Linked DNA regions of Bombyx mori. The protein of the gene in region 1 purifies or fractionates together with the protein of each later gene. This does not show direct contact. Links are inferred from orthologs where the notes say so. Each region holds a gene or a part of one and is shown on either strand. Other genes may lie near its edges.

What was found.
Region 2: the proteins of MIP18 family protein galla-1 (region 1) and probable cytosolic Fe-S cluster assembly factor GL21135 purify together in Homo sapiens (affinity purification with mass spectrometry; 4 studies listed by BioGRID and IntAct, with this or other methods). This does not show direct contact. The link is inferred for Bombyx mori from reciprocal best matches to the Homo sapiens genes CIAO2A and CIAO3.

What each region holds. Positions count from the first base shown.
Region 1 is NC_085134.1:8,479,267-8,483,827, reverse strand, and holds the start of MIP18 family protein galla-1, read left to right. Parts: upstream 1-1,682; 5' UTR 1,683-2,393; coding exon 2,394-2,538; intron 2,539-2,621; coding exon 2,622-2,885; intron 2,886-4,561. UniProt on the Homo sapiens protein: Component of the cytosolic iron-sulfur protein assembly (CIA) complex, a multiprotein complex that mediates the incorporation of iron-sulfur cluster into extramitochondrial Fe/S proteins.
Region 2 is NC_085116.1:15,949,793-15,954,111, reverse strand, and holds the start of probable cytosolic Fe-S cluster assembly factor GL21135, read left to right. Parts: upstream 1-1,265; 5' UTR 1,266-1,380; coding exon 1,381-1,446; intron 1,447-1,853; coding exon 1,854-2,068; intron 2,069-2,476; coding exon 2,477-2,622; intron 2,623-3,035; coding exon 3,036-3,194; intron 3,195-3,420; coding exon 3,421-3,669; intron 3,670-4,182; coding exon 4,183-4,319.

The DNA.
Region 1 (4,561 bases):
GGTAACCCACTTAATATCACGTGGACCGTGCTATTATTGTTATTACGTAAAATAATAGGAAGAAAAGTACCAGGGTATTATGATATCAAAGAGATGTATTATTATAACTTTACTCTGACGTACAGCCTTCTTTATTAATTAACGGCTGTATGTTCTGAAGTATGGATTCCGATTTGAGAAATTGACCTCATGTCTCCAGGTGGATTACGGAAATCATTTTGTAATTCCAATAATCTCAGGGAGCCCACTTAATAATATCACGTGGACCGTGCTATTTATTACTGTTATTACGTAAAATAATAGGAAGAAAAGTACCAGGGTATTATGATAGCAAAGAGATTTATTAATAATTAACGGCGGTATGTTCTGAAGCATGGTTTCGGATTTGAGAAATCGACCTCATGTCTCAAGGTGGGTCAAACTTCACGAACCTCAGGAACCCCATTTAACACCACGTGGACCGTGCTATTATTATTAATTTATAGGAAGAAAAGTACCAGGGTATTATGATATCAAAGAGATGTATTATTAAAATGCTGTAATAATCTTAGTAGCAAAAAGGTAAAGTGAAATAATTGTATTATTTGTATTCATGTCTATGATAATAAAATCCTTTTGTTTAAACTTTATCTAATTTAACTTTATTTAACCAATTTCTAGAAAGTTGCATGTAGATCATTTTTCGAAAAATAAGGCCATAAACAAGTTTCACTTCTTACGTGTGTACACTAGTACACGCACACATTTTTTTGAATAATTTTATTTTGTTATTGTGAGGTATTATGTGGTTGAATTAGGTTTTTTTTTCTACACTAGAATTTCTCTAGAAATTTATTTAAGACAACACGTTTGCCTTGTCAGCTAGAATAAATATAAATTTAAAAACAAACAAACACTTCAAGAGTAAGCCAAACTAAATCGTAGAAACTAAAAGTAAAAAAAATGATTTTTTTTTATTACAATATATTGTAACATATTTTTTAAGAACTCTAATTTATAAATAGTCGTAACATTTGATGTCAAGGTTTTAATTAATTATCAAGGTTAATCTTAATTCGGTTAAAATTACTCCTTATTAAAGATTCAGTTAGTTAGATATAAGTTATGCTAATAAAAATATGCAAAATAGATCCATCACAATATGTTGATGGTAAAGTACCTGAGATCTTCTAATACAGTCAATTACTAATATCGACGCTTCCACACGACGGAATACACTGGCTATGAAAAAATACGAATATTTCTTTTATTAAATAGAAAACTGTGTTTCACGTCAGATAACAAACTTTTTTTATTCAATTAAGCAAAAGATACACCGTTATGTAGGTAATGAAATAAAAATTAAATGTATTGTAGTAGTTTAGCGACAATATAGTGGTGAATGCAGGCTCTTAATTTTGATTCAAGGTTGTTTGGATGTAGATAAAAATAAAAGGCCTATTTTTTTTGTATACTGTAGCCTCATTTGAGGTATCCATTCCTTTTGGCAATGCGTCATGAATAAGCCACCAGCTTGAAGTTTCAGTCATTAAAGCTTTGTCTAATGTTTGTCTACATCAATTATTGATGGTTTTTGGATGTGTTAACGTCTAAATCGATGTACGCCGCCTGCACGCACGAAAGAGTGTCACGTTCCTCTGAGCCTGAGCGCGCAAGCGAGAGCGCGGAACAAACGATAGAGAGGCACGATCGGCCCAAGCGTTGGCTTGTGACACATTTATCTGTCTTCTCGCGTGGCGTCTTTTTTTAAGTGATTTTATGTCCTGGTAAATTAAAATAGTTTTAAATTAAAAGGTTTTATTTTTAATTTAAGACAATTTAAATTTTGATGAAAATTGCACTATCACTTTTTTGTATATGAAAAATGATAATATGAAGTGAAATGAAATGAAGCTGATTAATATGAAACATGGCATTGCATGAAATGAAATGAAATGAGATGAGATAAAATGACATGGGATGAAATATAATCTCAGTAAAATGGCGGTTATTTACGGAGACTTTTTCAGTGGACTTTTTGGAGGATCTCGAGAAGTTACGTCCAGCGCCTCTGTTTTATTTTCCCACTCACGTGACGTCAGAGTTAACAGTTCGAACAATTATCTTAATGGCGTTATCACGTAAAACTATCGTTCGTAAACCGGCTTTCGTTTATGGACAAAGTTACTTGCATTGTTGTAAAATTAGTTTAAGTTCTTTAAATTGTCAATACTATCTGTAAATTCTGTAGAACATTATTGAAGACGACAAAAAATTAAGATGGACTTAAAAGTATTGCCACAATAGCAGATACAAGTGAAAAAAAAAACGGAGGTCAGCAATTACAATTGTCAAAAAATAAATATGTCCGACATTTAATCGTGACCCGTGATAATTTTAATTTGAACGATAATATGATATCATTTTTCTCCAAACTATCTTTAAACAACTCTTCAAAACAGCCAGTGGAGGTCGCTAAGCCCGCATATATGGACAAAAGTGCTACATTACAAGAGCTCGGCTACAAAGACGAGAATGAGTTGAGAGAGACAATATATGGTTTGTTTTCAACATAAATTTGTGGTTTTGCACGAACTTTTTGTGTTATTTGCGTGTTTAATGTGTGCTGTGGTGTGTTTTAGACTATTTGAGGACAATTCGAGACCCCGAAAAGCCAAATACGCTTGAAGACTTGAAGGTCGTGTACGAGGAAGGAATCTTTGTGAAGGAACCAACTGCAGATAAAGTGCCCGTTTTACGTGTGGAGTATAATCCAACAGTGCCCCATTGTTCGCTGGCCACACTAATCGGACTTTGCATTCGTATTAAAATATTAAGGTCTATCCATCATCCTGTGAAATTGGACATTTTTATCAAGAAAGGGGCACATACCACTGAAGATGAAAGTAAGCGATGAAATTTGTTAGTTTAGAAAATGTATCATTGGATCTAAAATGCATTGCACTATAAAGTTTAGTGGAAAAAAAATCATCACTATTTAATACAAAAATAATATAATTTTATGATTATATTATTAACATCAATAGCAATGATATACGCTATTAACTAATAATATAAGCTAATAACTATTTATGTTTACATCTATTTCTGTTCAAGATAGTGAAATAATTTACCAATATAATGTTTACAATAAATTAACCCGATCAGGTTATCACTTTTTTTGGCACCTTGTCAGGTTATCATGGGTCACTGAAGACCTGAGATGCATTAGAAAACGTAATTTGTAATAAAAAATCTGATTAAATTCCTGAAAACTCTTGAATACTTAAACTTGAGCACACGATGAAGATTAAAAAAAATTAAATGAGGATTTTATTAATCATCATAAACATACCCACCTCCTTAAAATGGAGTCATTGATTAAAAATTCATAACTTTTGAACAAATTGAGATATTAAAAAAAAAATCAATTACAAGAGAATGCTTTTTTCAAAGAATAAATTTCTGCCAATCTCTCCATCTACTATAACTCTTTCTTCTTGTTCATTTCTGCTCTGCTGCTTCTGCATCATCATCAGAAAAATTGTACTGAGATGATTATTCTGAATCTTTATTAATGTGATCTATCACGAAGCTATTTTCTTCTTCTAAATATGTGTATCCAATGAATTATGTGAACAAAGTATTTTCGATATTTTATGATATCCACAGAGCTATATATTGATGAAAGATCAATGTGTAACCCTAAAAATGCATAAATTTTATTCAAAATCAAGAACTAACCTTGTCATGGAAAAAAAATTCAAAACCACAGTTACAGTTATCGTAGTTCACTCAAGATCACTAGTGATCCAACATGCACCACTAGCTCACTACAAATATTCCACAATTCTAGAGGAATGTGTATCAGAGTAAAGATTACCTACTCACCTCACAACTCTTTTATAAGCTTATTTACAGTGAGGTTAGATTTTTTTCCGTACTTTGATTGTTACAGATAACAAAACAAAAAATTAGCTACGTTCCTTAATAACCCACAATAGCTTCATCAGGTTAACGATGAGACAATTTGTCTTTATTCTACTAAGAGAGTTAAATGTTTATTTGCAGTAGTAGTTGCATTAGTAAAATATTGGGGCTTAATGGTGGTAAACTAGTAAAAAGTTATTAAAATTAATTTGAAAAACATCAGACAAATGAACTGACTGATATAGCTTAATAAAGTCTAGAAACAGCAATCATATTTGTTCTGTTGTAATTTCATTCCGATTAGTAGTGTTCGGTTATAATAATACAATATAATAATGTTCTAGTAATCATAATGTTCGGCTTAATAGTCAGAGGGATGACTAGTACACTGTCAGGTCAGTCATGAAGGTGTTGTTTATGAGTTTTCCACTTTTAATTAGAATTTTTGGAGTCTTTCAGCAACAGCTAGAAAACTGACCCTGCATGGTTAAATACCACCATATAGGGTAAACAAAATGTTCATACTTACTGGTACTACACACATACTGAAATTGTGTACTTCATACATACTGAAAAATGTGACAGCTGTAATAATACAAAATTCTGACTTCTACTTTATGCAAATTAAGCACATTATGTGATTAAATAAAAT
Region 2 (4,319 bases), on another chromosome or scaffold:
CGAGAATGTTCCACCGAGCGAGTGAAATTGGTCGATAGACCGACGTTCCGAAAGTTGTTGTTCGGTACTTATATACATATATGCAAACTTATCTTGGAAATATTGCTAGCAAGATTTATGCATTTGTCAAATATCTTGTAGGTATTCTATTATGGCTACCGCTACATTACTCCCCCCGAGACCGGAGTTCGTGCGATTAATTTAGCATTGTCCGTGCTGAGATTAGCTTGCTAGTGCCAGTGTTACTCGAATTCTCCGGTGAGTCGAGACTGAGTTTTGAATGCCGCCATAAAGCCGTTAATACAGAGCTGCCACGCCGGACATATGTGACCCCAAGTGTTGATGACCGGATCGTGGGCTGCGATGGGTTGTAGAGGCTTGATGAGGCAGTGAGGATGCATGTCGTAGGAACAGGAAGCGCGGCAAGTCGGCTACGATGGGCATATTGAGGCTGTCATGCTGGTCTGCTGCGGGACGTCTATTGATGACTTACGATTTTAACTTCGAGAGTGCGGAAAGAAGGTAAGAGCGTGTCTCGGTTTTCTAAAAAAAAATATGTTTGCACCAGTGAAGTAAGAGTCACAAACTTATATAATATAAAATTATGCATTAGTGTAATAAATATTATTAGCGTAAGTAAATCAGCAACTCTCAAAGTGGTTGGTGGTATTTCCATCGTGATGTTTAGGCTTAACTATCTTTTTGTAGTTAATTAACAGAAAAACTTGCATTCGTAATTTTCATGCAAATTAACAAAAAAAAAATATTATTAAAATTAAATATAAAATTATTTTTAATATCCACTATACACAAAAGTGAACTTATCTAGCATGTGAATTTTAGAATATTCCTTTAATTTTCAACAATTTTAACCAAATGAATTAAAATAAAATACCGTTATGTTTAAGTTTATTTAAGTAACATTGCCTCATTTAGCTATATTTCATCATCATCATCATTGTTTCCTATTACCCTCTGCTGGGGTGTAGGGCTCGAATCAAATTTTTCCATTTATATCGGTCTTGGGCAGTCTGTTCTAGCTCCTCCCACGTCGTGCCCAAGACCCCTAGCTCCTGCTCCACCGAGCGACGCCAAGTTGTTCTGGGGCGGCCTCTCTTCCTTTTGCCAGACTCTTTCCAGATCAGTGCTCTATTTAAATTATATTTAAATTAAGTAATTTTGAAGTATTTTAAATTAAGTATCATTTACCATTTTTCATACAGAAAAAAAAAACCACAAACGTCATTTAATGTCGTAATTGTCGTATGTCATTTTCAGCTGTGTTGATAAAATGTAACGTCATAACCTTGCACTTTATCAAATTAATCGTACATCACATTTATTATTTACTTCATACCAAGACGCCTGTTCAATAATAAAATGGCATCTCGATTTAGTGGTGCATTACAACTTACGGATCTTGACGATTTCATAACTCCTTCACAGGTATGTTTTTTTTTTGTTATCAATAAAATCCTTTGCTGGCGAAAAAAAAAACAATTCAAATATAACTTTTTTGTAACAATTCATTTCATTTTAATTGAATTGTTATTAAAATTTTGTACCAATCTACTTTGATAATATAATTATTCATAATATACTATAATTTATACAAGCACTACTAACTATCGAATCAAAATTGAGACAAAAGGGACTTTAAAGTAAAAATTATTCTGAATTTAACAATCAGAGTTTTTATCGTATTAAGTTTTTTTTACTATTTCATACTCTATTTAAAACTAGTACTATAACAATAAATGAGTGAACAACTCATTGAGTATTAAGTATTAACATCAAGCAAACTTATGAAAGTGAATCAATCAGTAAATTTATCATAAAGTTAACATTTTTAGGAATGCGTAAAACCAATCAAAATCGACAAATCTAAAACAAAGACAGGTGCCAAAATAAAGATTGGCGAAGGTGGGTACTTTGATGTGTCAAGCGGAACAGAGCAGAAGTTGAAGAAAGTTGAAATCACCTTAGCAGACTGTCTTGCGTGCAGTGGATGCATCACATCTGCTGAGAGTGTGCTCATTACTAAACAAAGTCAAGAAGAGCTACTTAAGTAAGTCCTATGAGTTTTCATTACCAAAGAGAGTTTCTAACATAATATCACGAAATGCCTAACAAGTTAAAGAAGGAATAACTTTTAAGGTATAAAAAATAAGGGGGGAGTTGACGGGGTTATTAATTCCTGGCCACCTGGTCCAGAAAGATTATAGAAGCCTGTATATATCACTAAGTGAATGCCAGCACCCACTGTGAGACACTGAATCCAAGTATATTTCATAAGAGCTGTGCCATTCTTCAAACCAAAAGTATGACTGCTTTTTGGCAAAAACAGGTGCGATGACTGTAGTCCTCCCTACAAGTAGCACTAGACACTTAAATGAATAGTAGTTCCTATTCATGGAACAAAAATATAATTAATTTATTAATTATATTTTGCATAGTAAACATATTTTAATTTCAGGGTATTTTCAGACCGTAAATACACAGACAGTAAAGGAGTGGTGAAGGATGTTAGTTTAATAGTAATATCTCTGTCGCCGCAACCCATACTGTCACTAGCAGCTAGGTACAAGCTACCGCCTGAACATGCCACAAATAAATTAGCAGGTCTATATTTATAATGATATTGTAATGAAAACATTCCAGAAATACTCAGCAGAAAGTAACTGTATTGTGTTTCAAAATACATTCACATTTCATCACTTTGCTATGAATACAAATTAAATAAAAACTGCTCAGTTTGCAGTAGATACTAAATAAATTTTCTGAGGATTTTGTTTGACATATGTGATACATAAATGGCAAATGTATTGTATTCCTCTATTACAATGAAACTTCTTGTAACAAGGTGGGTACCAACAGTCACAATATGATGTCAATAAGCTCTGTTTGTAACCAAACACCAAGTGTCCCATAGACAAATCTAAAGGTTATGTAGATTTAATTGTAATAACAAATTACAAGATGGTTTGGTTATTTGGAGGTCCTTACAATGTCTAACTTTTAATTCATTATCACAGGGTACTTTAAAAGTCTTGGAGCAGATCTAGTTCTTGACATGACGATAGCAGAAGACTTATCTCTGTTAGAAGCACAGCAAGAATTTGTACAAAGGTATCAGGATCAACAGGCTGATCCCAATGGAAAATATCTTCCGATGTTAGCCAGTTCGTGCCCTGGTAAGCATGCTTTAGTTTGAGAATATAATTGGAAATATTATTGGTACTATATGCCTATTTCTGCTGCTATAAAATAATAACAATTAAAAAAAAATTGAGCAGTTATTAATATCTTACTTTATATTTCAAGTTGACGTTAGATGGTGGCTTTGTTCATAAAGATTTACATTTATACGAAAACTCTTATTAAAAACAATTAACCAACCAACTAATCAACAATTTTCAGGCTGGGTGTGCTATGCTGAAAAAACGCACGGTAACTTTATACTACCCTACATATCCACCACAAAATCCCCACAACAAATAATGGGTTCTCTGGTAAAGCAATACCTGTCCCGTACTAAGGAGCTTACTCCCGGAGAGGTGTACCACGTGACCGTCATGCCGTGCTACGATAAGAAACTAGAAGCATCTCGGGAGGAATTTTACAATGATTTGCTTAGCTGTCATGATGTAGACTGTGTCATAACTGCGAGTAAGTATACAATTGTTTATGAGAATTAATAATTCTTTCAATACTATTTTCTTTTATAATATTTAGACAGCTGTGCAATAAATTAATGAAGCTTCCTTATTTGCATTGTAATTTTTCAAGACACATGTACGGCTGATTTGTAATATCTGAGTCGTCTATTATCAAAGGTGGCAATCTGTGCATTTGGACAAAAAAAAATTATTGATATGTCAATACAGATTGATTTGAATATAATCGTCTCCTTCAAAGAATACGGTTCAAAACCTGCATTAAATAAAGGTTAATAGTTAACCTGTTATTTATCTAAGATGTCGTTCCGAAGAGTTTTGTGACTGCCAATGGAATACAAAGTCAATAATTCGTTTTTCTGATTTACCAATCATTGTCCAAAAGTCAGATTGCCGGCTTTGATAATAGTCGACTCATCTTACGATAAATTCTAGAAGCAAAATATATTAATAAATAAATGGTTAAACAAAAGTCAGGGCAGCCCTATAAATGTGACAATTTTAGTCGAGCTAGAACAAATGTTGGACAACAGCAACATGTCACTAAACGATGCGGAGAGCTCTTCGTTGGACAGTCCGTGGGGTGAAGGGGCAGTCCGCCGACACCGGGGCTCCGGCTCTGGTGGCGGCGCCGACCATGTC